Daphnia pulex: one gene and its partner. The protein of the gene in region 1 purifies or fractionates together with the protein of each later gene. This does not show direct contact. Links are inferred from orthologs where the notes say so. Each region holds a gene or a part of one and is shown in the gene's direction. Other genes may lie near its edges.

Region 1 (9,919 bases):
ACAAGACACCAAAAGCAGTAATGGCACATTTGTGAACAATCAGAGATTAAGTAAAGGATCTGAAGAATCAGCACCAAGAGAAGTGTGCTCTGGTGATATAGTACAGTTTGGAGTAGATGTTATGGAAAATTCAAGAAAAGGTATTTACCTTGAATTTAACATATTCCTAGAATGGTGCATAATCCATAATTCTTTGGAATGCTATAGTTACTCATGGTTGTATTGTAGCCACTGTAAAGCTATATTTACCTGATGGCAAAGAAGCCAAAGCCAGGTAAATTTAAAAAAACAATTTTCAACGATAGCTTGAATCTGATGAACTGTGTGTATTTTTTTTAAGTCCTTCAACTGGAATTCAAGAAGAGGAAGACAGTTGTGAACTTGGCAAACAAGATCTCTATCAGCTTAATCAATGGATACAGGTAAGGAATCTTATAAATGTTTTTTCACTATTTGTTTTATTTTATTATTTTTACTTTTTCATCCATGTTATTCATTCATGTTTATGTTTGTTAATATCTAGGAAGCAGTAATCAGAGAACAAGTATTAGAAACGAAATTAGGATCGTTGCAGCGTATTGTGAGCGCTACTCGTGAAGCAGCTGAAATGGGCTGGACGGCGCTGATGGAGGAAGATAGACTATTGACTCGAATAGAATCTCTCGAAAATCAGCTGGTCGTCTCTTCTAAAGTACGTATTTTTTATTGGATCATGGAAAAATGTTGTATTTATTTACTTTATCGCATATATTTTGTAAAGAACTTTCACGAAGACAAACTACGTGAAGAGATCCGTAAGTTGTATGACGAGAAAAACATTTATCAGGATGTTTCGAAAGAATCATTACGGAAAGTGCTCACAGAGAAAATGGAAACTTTGAAGAAGTTACAGGAAACTGAACGGTGAATACCACTTCATTGTGATTAATTAACTTCATACATTAAATCATTGTGCGTTTTCTTGACAGATCATTGAGTAACGCTGAAGACGAACGCGACAACATGAAAGAATTGAACGATAAACTGAATGAACAAATACTAGAATTAGCCGAGAAATTCGAAAAAGAATCGGAAGAGTTACAGTCGTGCAAGAAAAAGTTACAAGAAGCCGACAACCAACAACTTCGTCATGAGCAGGAGATGCAATCAAGGCAAGAAGCCCTTCGAGAAGCTCAAGAAAAAGAAACGATTCTTCTAGCTCAGGTAGATTTTTCATTCATTTCATTTCAAGTTTTTATTTGAAAGTCGTTATCTGTAAAACAGGTGGAAAGTAGACAAGCGGAAATCGATTTCACCAAAGAGCAGCTCGCCAATCTCAGACTACGTCTCGATTCAATGAAAGCAACAGAAGAATTGAAGAAGGATGAGAACGAAATAAGTGGGGATGAAGTGGAAGATAAGAGCAACGTCAAAGAAAACCAGACGGAAACATTGAGACAAAGGGTGATCCAGCTCGAGTCGCAACTTAAAACTTCCCATGCAAAGGTAAATCAATATCACTGAAACATCTTTAATGAATACTCACAGGTTTTTTGTTTTTCCTTAGAATCTAAATGGAGACTTTGTCCCAGATCCTATTGGATACAAGTCAAAAGAAGTGGATCGCCTACAAGGTATGAGTTATGTGTTACTTTATCTTGAAAGAATGTAGAATTACTTAAGAGAATCTAGAATCTTTAGAGAAATTTTCAATGTGGTATTGGACTTCTGGTTGTTTATTGAGCCTTTTTGTTTGGCTTCATCATTACTTTTTGTGATTCCTTGTGTTATAATGTCTTGCCCTTTCTCTGACTCGGTTTTTTTCTCTTTTCCGCCCAAAAAAAATTAATCCATTAAACCCCCTAGTGAGCGTAACATTGCTGCCAATCATCGCTTCCGACTTGTTCGGATACTTGACGTTTTTTTGTTAATTGATGTGTGTAGGTTCATGCACGTGGGATTGTTATCTTTACCGCAATCAGTTGGCATGTTGTAGTTTAATTTTACAAGGTGAATTGTACTAACTCTTTCTTGGCTCTACTCCAGCTTTTCATTGCGTTTTTTGCTGCTTGCCCATTTTGTTTTTTTCTCTTTCTTTGGCTGACATGGAACATTTGCTGTCTCTTTTTTCTACTCTGCTAAATTGATCGCGTCGAGCTTTACATTAGCTGTTCGCTACGAAAATGGATGATGGCTAAGTTATTCCTTTGTTTGGATTGGTGCAGAGCTTTTGGAAGAAACGCGCGCCAAGTGCCGTGTACTTGAGTCAGAAGTGGAGAGACGGCAGCTAGAGGCACAAGATGGTTGGTCTACAGCCGCACATCTACAGCAATACTTTAGAAACCTGCACAACGTTCTCAAAGGCTCATCTGAGCAGGAAGAGGAATCCGCTGATGAACCATCTGAGCTCGCTGAGCTCGTCCGTTCCAGTATCGTTTCACTCAATAATGAGTACCAAGAACTTCGAGAAGCTAATGCGAAGAATAAGGATCTTATTTCGCTATTGACCTGTAAGCAAGGAGTTTTTTTATCACTTTTTTATGCCAAATACTTCATTTGCAACAACGATATTTCAGTACGACTAAGTAATTACGAAAAGGAAGAGAAAGCCAATCGTGTCAGTGAAACCACCGCTCATAGAGGCTCAACCTCAGAATTGGAATATCTCAGGGACGAAGTTGCTATCCTCACCATCCAGTTGAAAGAGTAACAAGAAAACATTTTCTATCCATAATTAATTTTCTATTTAACCTTTTTTATTTATTTATTTTTAGGATGGAAGTGTCGAGGATAGAGCAAATTGAGGAACGCCAGAAATGGCAACAAGCCTACCAGTCGCTAGCTCTCAGCGTAGAGAATCGGGACAGTGGAGTGGTTAGCGGATTTAGCAGTCCAATCAGTAATCCACCGAGTTCCCGTGATCCTGAAATGAGAGATTCTGGCATCCGGGAACTTAATTCCGGAGAAGATGCTAATTCGGAAGAATATGTTACCATGCAGGTAAAACGAAATTTTATTTGAAAATTTCTTGAGGCACAGTTTTTAATTTATGTTTTTTTGTTTTTGTTATTTTAAGCAATTGTCTGAGGTACGAAACGAACTCGAAGCTTTACGGCGCCACTACGATAATGTACAAACGGAAAAGAAGGAGCTAGAAGAAGAATTCTCCCAGTTAAAGGACAACTACTCGTTACTATCTTCTCAGTCAAAAACGGTAAGTCCAGTCAGTCTCCGTTTCTTCCAAATCTTCTTTCACTGTTTTATGCACAATTTTAATTTGTAAGTTTTCTTCATTATTCTTTGGTTCGTTGATAATTCTATCCATCCATTCTTCTTTTTTCTTTTCTGTTCTCTTTATTTTTCTTTTCTTTTGAATGCCGAATGCATTTTCTAGGTTGGCCGCTGGATGTATGTAGTCCCGTTGGCCGTCCTTGTCTTGGCGGTCCTCATAGCTTTCAGGCCATCGGATTGAAATAACGATAAATTAAAAGACAGAAAAGGGGAAGCACCAATTCTATTTCATCCTTTGTCTTCCTTTAGAAAACTAAATGTGTGTGCCTTCTAAAAGACATATTCTTTTTGTCAGCTGAGAGTCCGTCAACTCTTGTTTTTTCCTCACGTGAAACTGAACGAAGAGGGAATAAGAAAAGGATTTGAACACAAAACAAATAAGAAGCTATTTGAATTCTTCGATAGTCTGCTTGATTTTGGATTCTCCTTTTCTCTCTCGCTTAGGTTCTGTTTTCTCACATTTTTTTTCTTCAGCTGTATTTGTTACCTTCTTATTATTGGCTTTCTTTTCTCTCGTTCGTCGACTTGTGTTTATGTGCCTTCAAAATTTATTTTAGAGATGAATTTATTGTTTTTGTTAGTTCAATATCCGTGGCCAAAAAACAACGCAAACAAAAACAACAAAACATTTTTCGCTCTGTATGTTTGCTTCGATTTACTTTATTCTTTAACTTTCATTTTTTTTTCTCGTCTTAAACTAACACCGCATTGACGTAAGAAATTTATGCTAACGGTGGACATTAGAGAACAAAAAAAAGCTGATCCATCGATTATTTTCCTTTCTCTTTTTCTCTGTTTGTTTGTTTTTTTTTGTTTTTTTTTTTGCTGTGCCTCTTGTTTTTTTTTCGTGTTTGTCTGCGCGTTTTCTGTAGGCGACGGCGTTGTGTCTCATGCCCTTGCTCGTATTGTTCATCTCGTTCTTCCTGGCCTTCTACCGCTTCTTCTCGCGGCTGACGGCTACATTCGAGCCCTGAGAGATTTTGCCGGACAACACGGAAGAAAAATAAGGAGAGAGACAATAACAGCAACAACAAAAACATCATCATCATCATCAATTGTTTTTTTCCTGTTCTTCTACCGATTGTAAGCTTTTTTTTTTTCAATTACTTCTATCTACGCAAATGGCGGGATATGCAGATAATATCCCTTTTTTCGTGTTTTCTTTTGAAACATATTTGCTAGCGACAGCAGCTTTTTAATTTTACCAAGTGCCATCAATATGACAAAAGAGTGATGTCATTAACTAGTGTGTGTTTTCCGTCAACGCTACAGAAAATGGCTTAGTCTCCTTTCTGTGTGTGTATGTAAAACGTACAACGTCGGTGGGGAGGGGGAGAGTCGAATCCTCTTTCCTCCACCTTCTAACAGGACCTGTGCAGAGTTATTTTTTCCTTTGCTATCTCTCTCTCTCTCCATGATTTTCTACTGTCACACAAAACACACACCCCTCCGAAGAATGTTGTTCCTCTTTGTTTTTCAAATGCTTAGTTTTACGGCATAGTTGGCGTGCAATAATAGGCTCCCCTCAATGATTTTTCTTCCTTTTTTTTTTTTTCTTTTGCTGTCCGTCCTACCTCTGTCTATCCACCAGCTCATTATCGTCGACATCTTTCTCTTGTGTGTGAGGGAAAGTTTAATATTTTTCTCACCAGCCAACGACATTATTTTCAGCTTCGCGCGTCTTCGACTTGAAAGAGTAAGAGTGGATCACATAATATTGATTTGATGGGTCATTGATTTACTCGTTCTGCTCCCCAGTTTTGTGTCACGTTTCCTCCTTAAGGTCTTTGGCGGATAACCGTCCGGCGAGATGGATAACCATCGCTGGGAGGCCTCGGATCTTAAGGAGTTTATGAAAAATTTCAACCAACAACAAACATGTTCTATGTTTTGTAGTCTAGTCCTCTTCTACGGATATTGTACACACTCCCCATTTTCTCTCTTTACTATCCCACCTGCCCCTGCCCCGTGTCCTGTTATTTAACTCGCCCCATTAAACATCAGCAACAAAAAAAAAAAGAAAGAAGAGAAAATGAAAAGAAACTAACAAGACAATACAATACTTTGTTTTTTTCTTTCTTGGTCTGGATCTATGACCGAGTATTGATGCTCATCGCGCTGCGGAACCGAAAGATTATCTGAAGACAATCGTATCGGTTCTGTTTTCGTGAAGCGGATCGGAACGACTTTTATGTACATTTTCTTCTCTCATGCAAGTAAGTATAGATGATATGCTGTTTCTTCGTGTTGTAGTTCAAGGTGGCAGCGAAAGCGAGTTGCGGTTATATCCCCGACGTTTTCGTAACTTTCCACTCGACACTGAAGAGTATAGCGCACAGCACGATTCGTATGAAATTCCGTTATTTTATTATTCATCGTTTTTTGTTACGATCCAAGATTTTCTTTGCCTTCCTTTTTGGTCAAACTTGATGTGGAATGATGACCAGCCGAGAGCCAGCTGGACAATCGTGCACGGCTGGAAATGAAATCCCGCCGTGCGCTCGGCTATGCTGTTGCCGTTGGTTCTGTGTGTGTGTGTGTGTGTGGTGCGTCGTTGAGCGTGTTGAGTGTAAGTACTTTTTTCACCTATTTGAACATCGAGCGCGGGCAAAAAGAGATTTTTTCCCTCGACGCGTCTATATAAGGATCGACCGTTCCGGCGGAGGAGAGAGGAGAACGCGGGGAACAAAAAAAAAAAAAGAATAACGCACGCGTGCAGAGTGAGACGTTGAGTGTCTGTGTAGAATAGAAGCGTAGCTTTTCTTTGATGGAAAAAAAAAGAAGGAAATCCTTTTTTGAAAAAGTCGAGTTCCAACATCGTAAATAATGTATTATTGTTTCAGAAAGGGGAGAAGAAAAGGTGCGGAGAGAGTACATCATCGTGGTCCGCTGAACCGAACGCTGAAAATGCCTTACAGCCTTCGGGACGGCCAGCGATGGAGGCCGTCGTCGTCTATCGCTGTTGTCGCAGTCGATTGTGAGGAGCGGGTGAGACGTAACGGAACAACTGGAAGCGGCCGCGACATTTTTGTCTGTCGGTGTAGTTGGATTAAAGTTGTGCGTGTGCGGAGGAGGGCAATTTCGAACGACGTGTTCAGACGTCGAATTCCCTGGCCCATTTAAGGTCTTTCCGAATCGGAGTTAACGATTTTGTCAACAGTTCTCAGTTTTTAAGGTATGTGTCTTTTTTTTTTTCTCTTTTATTTGGTTGCTCTGCACGTCATAGCGATATACGTTTCGAACCGTGAATGAATCATCCCCGTATAAGTAGACTGTGGGGTCACCTCCCCTCGGCTCCTTTTTATTTTTCTCTTCATCTTTTTTGTTTTCCCAACTGCCTCCTATGTGCTGTACCACTTCCTAACCTCTGCCGTTCTTTTCGGGGGCTGTTGTCAGTCGGTGTGGGAGGAATGTCTCTCTTCACTCCTACCGACGACGACGACCCCCCCCCCCTCCTTCTACCGCCTCCTCCTCCTCCACCCGCGCACGCTATGGCGAAGAATTTCTGAAACGGTGATGGCGTGGGCTATTTTTAAAAAAATCCGTCGTAGAGACGAACGGGATCTATGCAAGAGAGTAGTCCGGAGCGGCTACATTATAAGAGAAACGACGGCGCAGCCCTCCCACCACCCCGAAAAACCTACAAACCAAAAAACCTTTCGCTCTCTCTTCTGTCTACAACAGACGTCGACACAGACACACGCCACTTTTTCTCGCATTCGCTCTCATCGTGCCGTGCAGTGAGGGTAAACGCTTGCCATATTAGCCGTTTTGCGTCTGTGTTGGTCCAGTTGGTCCAGAGAGTTGCAGCACCCCTGCCCCTCTCGAGAGCATCGGGCCGTTCCCGGTCGGTAAAAGCCCAGAACAAACGGAGATTGATCGGGGGAGAAAAAGAAAAACAAAAAAAACAATCGTATCGGATATTCTTAGCAAACCAACAAAGGATTCGTCACCGTCAATTCCGTAAGAATCTTTTAACATTGTTTTTTTTGTTCACCTTCCTTTCTGTTGTGTTTAAAAAACAGACAAATTCTTCCATTTCGTTATTGGATCCTCGTTTGTTTGCGTCGTCGTCAATGGAATGACGACGACGAGGGCGCTTAGTTACACGGATGACAAGACGTGACAAGTTAGTGGAATCCAATCAACTTTTGTGCTGTTTGTTGATACGGTCCTGGCCGATCCTCGTACCGGAATCGGTGTCGCTTGGCGCCGCCAGCGCCATCTATGGGCACGCATCTCGTATGCACGTCAGCAGAGGAATGAAGATGAACATGTCGGCAGAAGGCGGCTTTAGGGCTCATTCCGCAATGTTGGGCAATCAATTCGTCAGAGTCCTTTTATGGAATGAAAAGCGAAGGAAAAATGAAGACAAGTTGTTGTAATAATGAACGAAGAAAAGAAGATTGGCAACAAAAGCCGAAATCTCGGCAATATCCTGCCGACTGACCCAAATCTGATAGAGTGCTGACGTACAAACCACCTACTACTGTTTTACACTTTTTTCCCCCCTTTTTGTAAACGCATTCGCCAAATGAAATTGCCGGTAAAATAACATCATTAAGCAGCCCAGATACGAGCGCTTAATTGCTGTCTTGGGGAAGAATAATAACTCGCTGTAGGAAATAACTTAACCTACTACTCCTTTGGGCTTTCAGAAACGAATCAAATTAATCATTTCTTATTTTGGTATGTACCAGTTGACAGGTAATTGCTTTACCGCAGGTGGTGATTGGATTACAACATTGCGTTCGTTTGTTATACCCCATTCATTTTCTGTGCTGTAGTTTCTGTCGTCGGCAATGACGAATTTTTTTTAAATTTAGCGGCGAGCTTATAAGTGATCCAGCTGTTCTCATTCCATCCTTAAAGCGGAGGGGGGAAAGAAACCAAACGGAAAAATATGAAAGAGAGGGGGGGGGGGGATAAACGTGCCACCACCAAACCACGCCCGTCAATCTGTTCCTATTTTCTTTTGTTTCCATTCCAACGAAATGAATCATTTATCCCAAATAGATATTTCTCTTTTCTAAAAGCTAGAAACTAATTTCCTGACATTTTTTTTCGTCCGTTTGTTCAAGGTTTCCTTTGATTTCTTCCGCTATTAGGTAATATTGCGTCATGTTGCACAATTAATGGTCTTTTTTTGAATTCGATTGAAATTAGACTCAACAGGTGGCGATTGAATCGCCAAAGGAGCGAAGCCGAGAGACAAGCGTGATTGGACCGAACCCATCGGTCGGTGTGTTCGTGTGTGTGCGACTCTGGTCTTGTGGCCTCTATCTGAATAGCCCGGCGGGCGGGAGCAAAGCGGCAGCTACAGGCTTTACACCATGAGTCAACAGGGAGGAGATGTCAGTTTGGCCCGCGACAGCCCGGCCGAGCAGGTGGTCTCGTCCGTCATTAGCCAGTTACAACAGCAGCATCAGCAGCAGCAGCAGCAACTTCAACAGCAAGAAGGAGCAGGCAATCAACAACAGAGCAGCGCCGAAGACGATCAAGTCATGGTGGCAACGGAACGAGATCTGGCCGAGGATGCCCAGTGGAAGCGCATCCAGCAAAACACATTTACACGATGGGCCAACGAGCACCTGAAAACCGTCGACAAATTCATTGGCAGTTTGGAGACGGACCTGTCGGACGGACTCAAACTGATCGCCCTCGTCGAAGTCTTGTCCGGCAAGAAATTGCCCAAGCACACCAAGAAACCCACCTTCCGTTCGCAGAAGCTCGAGAACGTTTCCGTGGCTCTGAAATTCCTGGAGCATGACGAAGGCATCCGCATCGTCAATATTGGTGAGTCCCATTTTATTTTTATTTTTAAATTTTATTCCGTAATTTTTCTGTGGATTTTCTGTTCGTCCCACTTTCTTTTCCGCTCGTTTCCAACTGACCATTTGCTTGGTATTGTTGGCTATTTTTTGTTACGAGTCATCGCTCGTTCCGTACATTAGCCTCTTCTTGTTCTGTTTCCCCTCAAATCAATTTGTCGGGCATCCGCCGTACTCAATGTCACACATCCGAGAGAGTCAGAGAATAGTTAGAGAGAACCAGAGAAACGGAACATTTCTCTGACCCTCTGGGATGGAAGAGACGAAACAAAAAAAAAAGAGTCGAGGTGAAATCGTGACTGAGTATATAACCGAGGGAAACATCTGCCAAACTTCACGCGCTCCCATCGTTTGCGTTATGTGTTATTTCAACCACGTCTTCTTCTTCTTCTTCTTCTTCTTCTTCTTGGTTCTTCTCCTTCCAGCATTTTATTACGGCAGGGTTGGCAGCGTTTGTTTTTTGGTTTCCTCGGTGCCGTTTTTCTTTGCACTGTTTATGGTCTAAAGTCAACACGTGCACGCTGTAGAGCAGCAACAACACGACTAAAAAAGAACCCCCAACTATGATTTCTTATCAGGGATATCACCTATATTTTTTTTTATAGTACGAACATGTTATCTGCTTAGCTTGTGAACTGGAATCTTTGGGCTTGACGGGAGGGTTTTGATCTGGTAAAAAGTCCGTGGACCGGTCGGCGGGTTTTGCCAGTTTCTAACCCGCCCTTTTTTGTGTGATTGTTTGAACGGTCGACGTAATACCAACGGAATGTCCGTGCTGTTGACTTTGTATAAGCGGCGGGGGTAAAGAGAAAAGAAGA
Region 2 (9,439 bases), on another chromosome or scaffold:
TCTCCTATTATATCCGAGTATAACGCGACGGATGGACTTCGTTAGTTACTTTCTTTCTTTCTCTCTCCTGGCGGCTGTTTCTCTCCAACACATGATCCACTTGAGTATTTATGCCATTTGCTGTTGTTTGTTGTTGTTTCAGGAGCCGAGTGGAGGTAACAGCGGCGAGACTCCTGCGCCTCCTCACGGCATTTTCTTGCTCAGTCAGGAGAATGTGACTGAAGCCTCGGCCGAGACGGCAGACATCCTTTACCAGAGCAGCAGCAACACCAACCGAGGAGGAGGAGGAGGAGGAGGTACAGACACGAGCAACGGGATTGATCCGTTGCTCAAATGGCGTGGCGCCATCGTCACGCTGGCTCACTTGATGCCACAACTGACGGGCTCTGCCCCACCATCTTGGTAAGTCGTCCCCAGGCTGCTGCCGTGATCAAGAAAACGGGGAGCAACCCAGACAACACACACACACATTCATGCGTCTTCCCTCCTTTGTTTCGTGTCAATTTACAATATTAAGAGGGGGGGGGGATCCTAATGAATGTTAGTTGCGTATTGCGTGTCCAGGAGAAAGAAGACAAAAACAACCCAAAAGTGGAAGGTAGTTTAGGTTTTTTTGGCTCCTGTTTTTGGCTCCTTGGGAACAAAAGAAACGGTCGATTCATTATTCTCATGTCCCGCCGAACCCAAGGAGCTCAGGATCCTTCGCGCTTTTGAGAAAACTGAGTTCGTGACCGGCACTGTCAAATATGTTTATATGGATGTGTGAGGAGGCGCGCCCACCTCCCTCCTTACGTTGTGTGTGTGTGTCGTTGTCTCCTCTTGGCCGGGGTTCGTCACGTAGTGAGAAACGATGATCAAGGGAGAAGCTCATCAAAAACATGTCCCGCATACCAAAGTGGAAAAGCCCTGCTGCCATATGCCACGGGGGGGCTCCTTTTTTGTTTTGTTTTTTTAAATTTCCTCCGGACTTGAATGTTTTAACTTTTCTTGTATTCGATGTTTTTCTTTCTTTTTATTTGGTTAAATCAAATGTTTGATTTTCTTTGTGATGTTTCGCAGTTCGACTGTTATCCTCGACGGAATGATCGTCCATCTCGTTTACATCGTCGAAGGATCCGTCCTATTCCTCATCGGAGCTCCTTCCATTTGGTTAATCTCTCTCTCTATTTTTCTTTTCTTTTTTTTTTTAACATTTTATTTTTAAAATGATGTGCACTCGAGCGCCTCTGGCGTCAATTCCTATTTTTTTTTTTATTATTTAGGAGCCGGCGGTTTTATTGATTCCCCCCTTTTTTTTCTCTTTTTAAAATTTCTTTATTTAACCAGGTGTAGTCGCATCGAGCTGCAGATGACGGCCAAACAGCTGGCGTCGCTATTCCGTTTCCAGTATGGCTCCATCCGCAGGTTTCTGTTTGGAAATTTTATTTTGTCGAGTCAATTGGAACGACGACGCCGATCGATTTCACATTTGTTTTTGAATTTTTATATTAAAAATAAAAAGGGCATTGACTGAACCGCGACTGGCAGGCGAAATCCGTCGCATGGTCGACTCTCTCTTCCATTGGCTCCAGCAAGGAGCCGGCGCTAGGAGCGTCGGAAATGCATCGACCGTTAGCCCAGGGGGCAGTAACGACATGAGCCGGCCATTCAATCGACTCTCCAACTACTTCGTCACCTGCGGCCAATGGCTCCCGCTACCTCCCGAAAGTCACGTAACGATCCATCTATCCATCCAGTCGTAAATTGATGATTGATTGCACCCCCAACTCTCTCTTTTTTTCTTTCTTTCCAACCCAAATGTGTGTACCGTGTGCAGCTGGACGTGACGTTAACTCTCAACCAAATGGAAGCCATCGATTACGAGGACTGGGTAAGAAGGCAGAGAGCTGAGCAATGTGTGCAACCAGAAAAGAATATGACGACATTCGCCCCCCTCCTCGATAGCAAATCTATGGCGCTTGTCACATACTCTGAATAGAAGAATAACGAGTCAGATTGAAAAAAAGACAGACTCACTTTTCTGTCCTTTTTTCCCCTTTTCTTTCACAATGTCGATCGACCGTATTAGATTATTAGACATTTATTTGGCCCAGTGTGTGTAACCTTTTTCTCTACTATTTGTGATTTGTGGGCACAGGATGAAGAGTCAATCAGCATTCAACGATGCGCTACCATCACCGGATCGGCCGTGTATTGTCAGGTTGGGTGGATCATTGGATATAATTTCATTTGTCCTTTTTTTTTCTTCTTCGTCCGTCCGTCCTTGTTACCTTCCCACAGTTGAACATTATTCAAGCGTTGTGTGTTTACTTCACTGCAGGGTTATCTGGTGGCTTCGACAATGGCAGCCAAGCGACTGGAAGAGATCGGCACTTTTCTCAAGTGGAACCAGATCTTGGAGATGAGCCATCGCCGTCGATTGAGCAGCTTGATTATCTGGCGCCAAGTGTTCCCAGAGTCTGAAGATGCTGGAAATCAATCCTTTCTTGTCGTCGTCGGATCGGTGGGGCTCTCTCTCTCATTAGATAGTCAAGACGGAGATTACATTTCTCGAAATGATGATTTATTTTTCTTTTCTTTTAGGGTCACATTCTCGTTGTTGCTCTACTAGAGTCGGGAGGCGTTACCCAATCGTAATTTGATTTTCTTTACGGTTCTTTTACCTTGTTTGCCCGTCGATAAATCTCGATTGACTTTTCAGGTGGGATCATTATCCAGATACTTTTCTCATTGAAGAAATGCAGTTTTTCCTGCAGGAATTGCAGTACCTCGACCTAGAAACGACCTGCAATCAAATGTAATTTGTTTTAATGAATTAAGTTATAATTAAATTTGGAATGAAGAAAACAATTGAATAATTCCCTTTTGCGATCGTTAAAGATTGAACGGACCACAGAATCCGGCCCTGGTCACGAATCTCAGCCAAGTTTCTGAATGTACAACGCCGATATCTTCGTCACCCGAGTCGGAAATGCCGACCTTTAGGTACTTCCGTTGTTTTATATCATCGCGCTCAGCGACGCCCAGTTGGAAGCTCAGCAGGTACACAGCATTTATTCCTTTTGACTATAAAGACGAATAAAATGCTGTTTGACCTCGCTCGATTTTCTAACAGGAGAAAATTATTTTTGTCTTTTTTCCTTGACATATCCCCCTCCAACTTTCCGCTTTGTTTTTTTTTTTTTTTTTTTTTTTGTTTGATTGCAATTAATAGCATCACTCCAGGGCTCAGGCCAACCATGATCAATTACCTGTCGATGGATTTCGGTACAGGTGTATTCGTCGCCCCGACCATCTTGAACGCTGGAACCAGGTTTATCGATCAATTTCAGAAAACTTGTCTGACGATTCACAATTTATTTCAGCGAACTCTTAAAGCTAAAGTAGGTCGACCCAATACAAATTCAAGTGCCTAGAATTTGATGAAAAACAAATATTGATTTCAACTCGTCCCCGTTTTTTTTACTTTTATTTTTTTACAGATGGATTTACAAAGGCCCGATTGGGGTGGCCCTTGGTCTGATAAGAGTTTAGTGGCACTTCAAGAGGTCTCGGTTGTTTTTACAGTCACTGAATCTCCTCCCAGTCCCGGCAGCGGGACGAAATCGACCCCGATGAGCGACAGTTTTTGGGTCACTGGGTGCGGTGATGCTTTTTCAACTTCACATCGATCGATCTAGCTAACCCATTGTAACTTTTACTTTTTCTTTTTGTGCGTGGGTGTCGGATTTTAATTTTAGGAGGCTGTTTCTATCCCCTGTTCATCGGGAGCTGTTCATTTGCCACCAAGATGGCGTAGCACAGGATATTTTGGATCTTGCCTTCCATTTAGCATTCGGAGCCGTCCTTTAAAATAGATTTTCCTGGATACTCATCGAATTACTACAAAAAAATGTGTTTTCCTATTATAGTGTGTGCTCGTTTCTTGTTATTTATTTTATCCGCATAATGTGTATGCCAGGGCATGGCCTACTCTATGGTTAAGGCCTGTAGACTTGTATCCACTGCCATGAAGGCGAGAGGCGTGGCCAAATTCCCTAGCCCTGTCCCTGTGAGAGCCAATCAGGCGAAAAATGGAGGTTACAACTTCGCCATCTGGCGTTTTAAGATGTAAATCTCGTTGTAAAGTAATGAAGGCGTAATAACAAATTGTTAGATGCCACGAAATGCGTTTTTCCTACTAAGTTCAACAGCAGATGTTGAGGAAAACGACTAAATAGGATAAAAAGGACATGTGCATAATTCCAGCAAAATTTTTCGAATAAATTATTCCGTGAAACACAACCTTTGTTATAAACTGCAAATTAAAAAGATACCTCCCAACCGAGAATTGAACGCCGCGCCGTGGTGTGGTAGCTGACATTGCTATCCATACGGCTACCACTGCTATGAAACACTCGAAGAAAAATTTATTATATCTAGCTACCTAACCATTCTAACGAGATAGCAGTATTGAACGACAGATGGCGAAGTTGTAGCCTCCATTTTTCGTCTGATTGGCTCTTGCCCGGGGAAAGGATAGGGAATTTGGCAGATCCTCTCGCCTTCATGGGGCAGGATTCAAGTTTACAGGCCTTAACCATTAAGTAGGCCATGGCCAGGGGAAGCCTTTTCCCGGGCGCACCTTTAATTTTTCTCGCCAGATGTCGCCACGATCGAATGTTGATTATTTATTTTTTCATGAGATATTGTAATCTGTTGTTTGCTGATATATTTCGAGTTGATGAAAAGTAAAACATAAATCGAATGAAATACGAAAGGTAAATCTCTATCATGTCCCTTTTATCACCGGTTTGTTGTCGTGATAAGAAAATCAGTTATTTGCTCGAAAAGGGTGTCGGGATAACAACCAAGCAAACACGTTCGTAGTTTGCGTGGGCCCAGTTATGAGATTTGTAAGTTGTTGAATCGACATGGAAATCGATGAAAACTATCTCTTCGATTAACTGATCGATGCACCAATGTTTATAGTCTGCTTCAGATGCCATAACTTTTTTAACTTACAATAAACTCACACTTACATACCAGTTCTGCTGTTTTTCTATTTCCATGTAGTCCCAAGCAGGCAAACAAAATGTCTGTGTCTGTTCAACAAATTCTTGCTGATGCCAAACGACTAGCTGGACGCCTGAAAGACCACGACTCCTCTGCAGATTTGCTTCTGTCGCAAGCTCAGGCAATGTTTTGTCAAGTGGATGCCATGAAAGAGGTACACGGTTGGGGGTTGGTGATAGCTTGTGGCAGTAATTTTTTTCAAATTATTGCTTCTTCTTTAGTACCAAGAAGAATTGGTTGAATTGAACACAGCTGCTCATCAAAGACCACATTTGGATCTCATAGCCAATATTCAGCAAGAAAACCGACAATTGAGAGCTTTAGAAAATGAAAACAAGGAACTCAAGTCAGCTCTTGAAGAGCATCAAAATACTCTTGAGCTTATAATGAGTAAATACAGACAACAAATAAGCCGTTTACTTGAAGCAAGTCACACAGAAAAGAACTTGGTTCATCTTCTCCCAGACACAAGAGTAAATAATACCTAATAATTTATTAATAATCTTACATGGCATGAGATTAATGAATTCCTTATTGTGATGGTCTATTCAGAAGGCTGAAGAACAGGCAGAGAAAATCAATGACATGATTGGGGTCATGGAGACAGCTATAAAGTTGGATGACAGTTATGTACAAAAGGAAATTGAACTGTTTTCAAAATTGACAACTGAAAATCGGGTAACCAGAAGAGCTGTTCGGAACGTCTTTTAAATTTTAACGTGTAAATTTCAATAATTTTCATCATTCTTATGCAGGGACTGAAAGAGCTTTTGGACATAGCAAGTCATAACGGGTCATTGAGAAACTCTCTTCTGGGTATTAAAAGCGAGGATAAAGAGATCCAAGCCGATGTTTCTTGTTTGAACCCTTGATCTCCGAAAAACAAAGGAAAATCAAATAGCGTTACAAAAAAACAAACATACGATAGATTCGTTAATTACGTTCGCAATATATAATTAATTATCTATACCTTAAAATCTGAAGATTCTTCGTCACATGATACTTCTCCTCTATACTTTGTCCTCTACGCTTTCCTTGCACGATGTTTCACTTTTATCCCGTGTATTAATTAAAGTTTCAAATAACTCCATAAATTTTTTTTTTGTGTTCTAAAGAAATAACTAGATGTTGCTTGGCTATAGGTTGATTGCAATAAACTCGTGTTTCATGTCGTTGACTCTCCTGCCAGCGTACTCATCTTCAATCCTCACATTTAAAACCTTTTTCAACCCTCCGAAGGTCACCAACCCGCAAAGTCCAGGTATGCTCCCCCGACTAATATGTTGTTTAAAATTGTGGTATATAGTTTAAATACTCGAAAGACCTTGAGAATGGTATACAACTGGACCAAGTTTTACCAAATTTGTGTACACAAACCAATCCAGGTCAAAGTTTTCTTTTATTACTACAGGTAAAAACGGACAAAACAAAATTACTCTCAACCCGAGAGCGCGAAAATGTATACGTGTTTCAGTTTATGTGGAAAGTTCTATTTATTCAGATCGACAGTGTCCTCGTTGCGTTGTGGTTTGTGCGCCGAAGAAGACAATCACCCGCAACAGAAAAGTATTTTGCAAATGCAAACAGTTTTCAAATGTTGCGTGAAACCGCGTAACTAGTGACGTCTTCACCGCGGCACTTGAGTCAATATTAATGTCCTGTTATTAACGGCAACCCTATCCACCGCATCACTCGGGAGTCATACATATTTATAGGAGCCGGATTTAGATTGGCAGTTCATTACAACATGAACGTTTTATTCATGCACACCGCCTCGTCCCGTCTGTTCTCCTCTGTTTGGGTGATTGCCCTGCTGTCAGGTTGTCTGGGCGAGCTGAGACCCGCTTTGCATATCAACCAGACTGTTCTGAGCATCAGCGACAATAATTCGTCAGCGCAGTTACGTCAATACACATGTGGTACAACTACGACTGTGTACGTCTCCAAAGGATATCAGGTAACTAGATTATTGTTGCATACATTTCTGCTTATTCCAGTTGGAGATTCAAGTGAAATTGATGTTGGAATCTTTCGCGTTTTCAAGGGACGTTTTGCATCTCCGAATTATCCCAATTTGTACAGCGGAGGGGCTGATTGTTTATGGACATTGACTACATCGACTGACGCTCAATTCACGCTCATTTGCGACCCGCTATCCATTTCCTGTACCGGAGACTATCTCCTGTTTTCGCCCAGTGGAGACACGGCATTCAGAGATGCTGCCAACCCCATATGCGGGTATAATTCATTTAATTTACCTAGCTATTTAAAATAGACTGTGATTCTTTAATGAACAATTACGTATACATATACGACGCGCGTTTATGCAGGAGTGGGAGGTTACAAGTGACGTCAAAGGCAAATTCTATCGCGATCGCATTTCATTCGTCCTATTACACGAATGGCGGTGGTTTCTCTTGTGTCGCCCAGGCTCAAGCTCCGCCCACTACTTCTACCCTTGCGCCTACTCCGAATTGTCAATGCGGAATCAAGGGACAGGTATAATTTAATTCTTTGATAAAGTCACTTTTTTTGTACGTACTTTCGATTTCACGGAGATTTATTCACGGTTCGCTCGCTTATGTAGAACCGCGTAGTTGGGGGTCAAAGTGCTGGAGTAACCGAATGGCCCTGGCAGACTTTATTGGCTGATATCAGTCCGTCTGGCGGAGGCAACCAATATTGCGGGGCGACTTTGATCTCGCCAAATTGGGTTCTCACGGCCGCTCACTGCACTCACAATCGAATTGCAGCCAATATTGGAGTCGTTGTGGGACAATACGACACGAAAAGCTTGTCGTCAACCTCACAGGTCCCTTTTCTCTATCAATTGTTTTATTTGTTAATCCTTTTTCTCAATTGATTTTTTCTACGTCGTCCAATATAGGTCCGCAGAGTGAGTCAAATTGTTCAACATCCGAATTTTAATCGAACGACCGTCAACCATGATATCGCTCTGCTTAAACTTGATTCGCCTGTTAGTCTCACTGCAGCCGTTCGACCCGTCTGCCTACCGACTCGTTTTGTTAATTACAATTTCGACAAACAAATCGGAACTGTTACCGGTGATTTAAAAAACAAACATACCAAACTTTTTCTAATGCATTTTCTATAATCTTATGTCTGTGTAATCCATCCAGGGTGGGGAACAACGAGCTTTGGTGGAACAGCTTCGCCGAATTTATTAGAAGTTGCGCTGCCAATTATTTCGACTGAAAACTGTCGGCTCAATTCGATTGTTGGATCCAAGATTACTGAGAACATGTTCTGCACTTATGCCGAGAATAAAGATGCTTGTCAAGGAGATTCCGGAGGTCCGTTGAATTGGATTGATCCTCAAACAGGTCTAGGGTACATCGTTGGAATCACCAGCTTTGGGATCGGTTGTGCAAAACTCAATACACCTGGCGTCTATACGAAAGTAATTATTCGAACTTATTTCTCTCAAGATTTAATACTGATTGCTCTTTTTGTGTGCTAGGTTACTAATTACCTATCATGGATTCAACAAAACACAGGTATCCTGTATCCAAATAGTCCAAAGTAATTATCCCTCAAACTAACGATTTTTGTTTGTTAATTGTCATATAGGGACTATTTGTTCGGTGTAATAAGACCATAGCGCATGATAGCGCATGCACGGAGCATAGGAAAGCACTAAAACTATTATTATTCCTACCTTATTTGCTTGCAAAATGTTGAATTTTATCCGTGACTATAATAAACGCATTATTTCTTTCGACGATAAACGTGGTTTAAGTTTCATCCAGTTGAAGAATAAATTCTCGAGTCATTATATAATGAAACAGACGATTTTAAGGTATGGCAACCAAACGAAACCTTTTAACCAATAAGAGAGACGTTGCTATGGCCGAATTTTGATAGGTGGTAAGTTTTTCCTTTTTCGTCTGCTAGGAACCACTGAAAGAGTGAATTGCAAATTTTCAACAGAGTAAGTCATTCAGTTTTGCCTAGAAAGAGCTGTGTGAGTCAGTCAGTGATTATATTCAGTCATGGAAATGGAGGTCGAATCTATCGACGACAAGGAAGAAATTAGACACAAAAAACTGGGGTTTCGTCCCCAGAAGGAATTGATATTTAACAAGTTTCTTCCTTACTCGGATGGAATCGACGAGGAATCCCAATCATTCCTTACTGAAATCAAATTGAATTTGTCCAGAGCAGTCTTATTTCGTGAATTGGTAATATTCTAAGAAATAATAACCTCATAATAAAAAGATGTGATATATTTATTCATTTTGTTGTTTTTATCTTACAGAGGCCAGGAGTTGTGACATGGACTGGTAGGCTGATTCGTTACATTAATTTGTATGGGCTCAAGTTTAGTAAAGAAGATCACATCAAATTCATTAAGCTCTATTAT

The links.
Region 2: the proteins of sarcolemmal membrane-associated protein-like (region 1) and FGFR1 oncogene partner 2 homolog purify together in Drosophila melanogaster (affinity purification with western blotting; 3 studies listed by BioGRID, with this or other methods). This does not show direct contact. The link is inferred for Daphnia pulex from reciprocal best matches to the Drosophila melanogaster genes Slmap and Fgop2.

What each region holds. Positions count from the first base shown.
Region 1 is NC_060020.1:2,408,413-2,418,331, reverse strand, and holds the end of sarcolemmal membrane-associated protein-like, read left to right. Parts: coding exon 1-140; intron 141-207; coding exon 208-274; intron 275-340; coding exon 341-422; intron 423-523; coding exon 524-691; intron 692-760; coding exon 761-903; intron 904-968; coding exon 969-1,203; intron 1,204-1,263; coding exon 1,264-1,485; intron 1,486-1,546; coding exon 1,547-1,613; intron 1,614-1,923; coding exon of another isoform or gene 1,924-1,989; intron 1,990-2,204; coding exon 2,205-2,685; intron 2,686-2,753; coding exon 2,754-2,979; intron 2,980-3,055; coding exon 3,056-3,193; intron 3,194-3,373; coding exon of another isoform or gene 3,374-3,451; exon of another isoform or gene 3,452-4,142; coding exon 4,143-4,244; 3' UTR 4,245-5,344; downstream 5,345-9,919. Other genes in the region: filamin-A-like, read left to right, coding at 8,604-9,066.
Region 2 is NC_060024.1:10,462,784-10,472,222, reverse strand, and holds FGFR1 oncogene partner 2 homolog, read left to right. Parts: upstream 1-4,645; 5' UTR 4,646-4,746; coding exon 4,747-4,760; exon of another isoform or gene 4,761-4,895; intron 4,896-5,055; coding exon 5,056-5,209; intron 5,210-5,276; coding exon 5,277-5,528; intron 5,529-5,607; coding exon 5,608-5,733; intron 5,734-5,810; coding exon 5,811-5,927; 3' UTR 5,928-6,227; downstream 6,228-9,439. Other genes in the region: protein inturned-like, read left to right, coding at 143-402, 1,060-1,149, 1,327-1,404, 1,502-1,712, 1,817-1,870, 2,138-2,200, 2,321-2,503, 2,584-2,633 and 5 more; chymotrypsinogen A-like, read left to right, coding at 6,803-7,012, 7,100-7,293, 7,386-7,554, 7,643-7,867, 7,943-8,120, 8,196-8,476, 8,537-8,573, 8,647-8,666; proteasome activator complex subunit 4-like, read left to right, coding at 9,069-9,257, 9,335-9,439.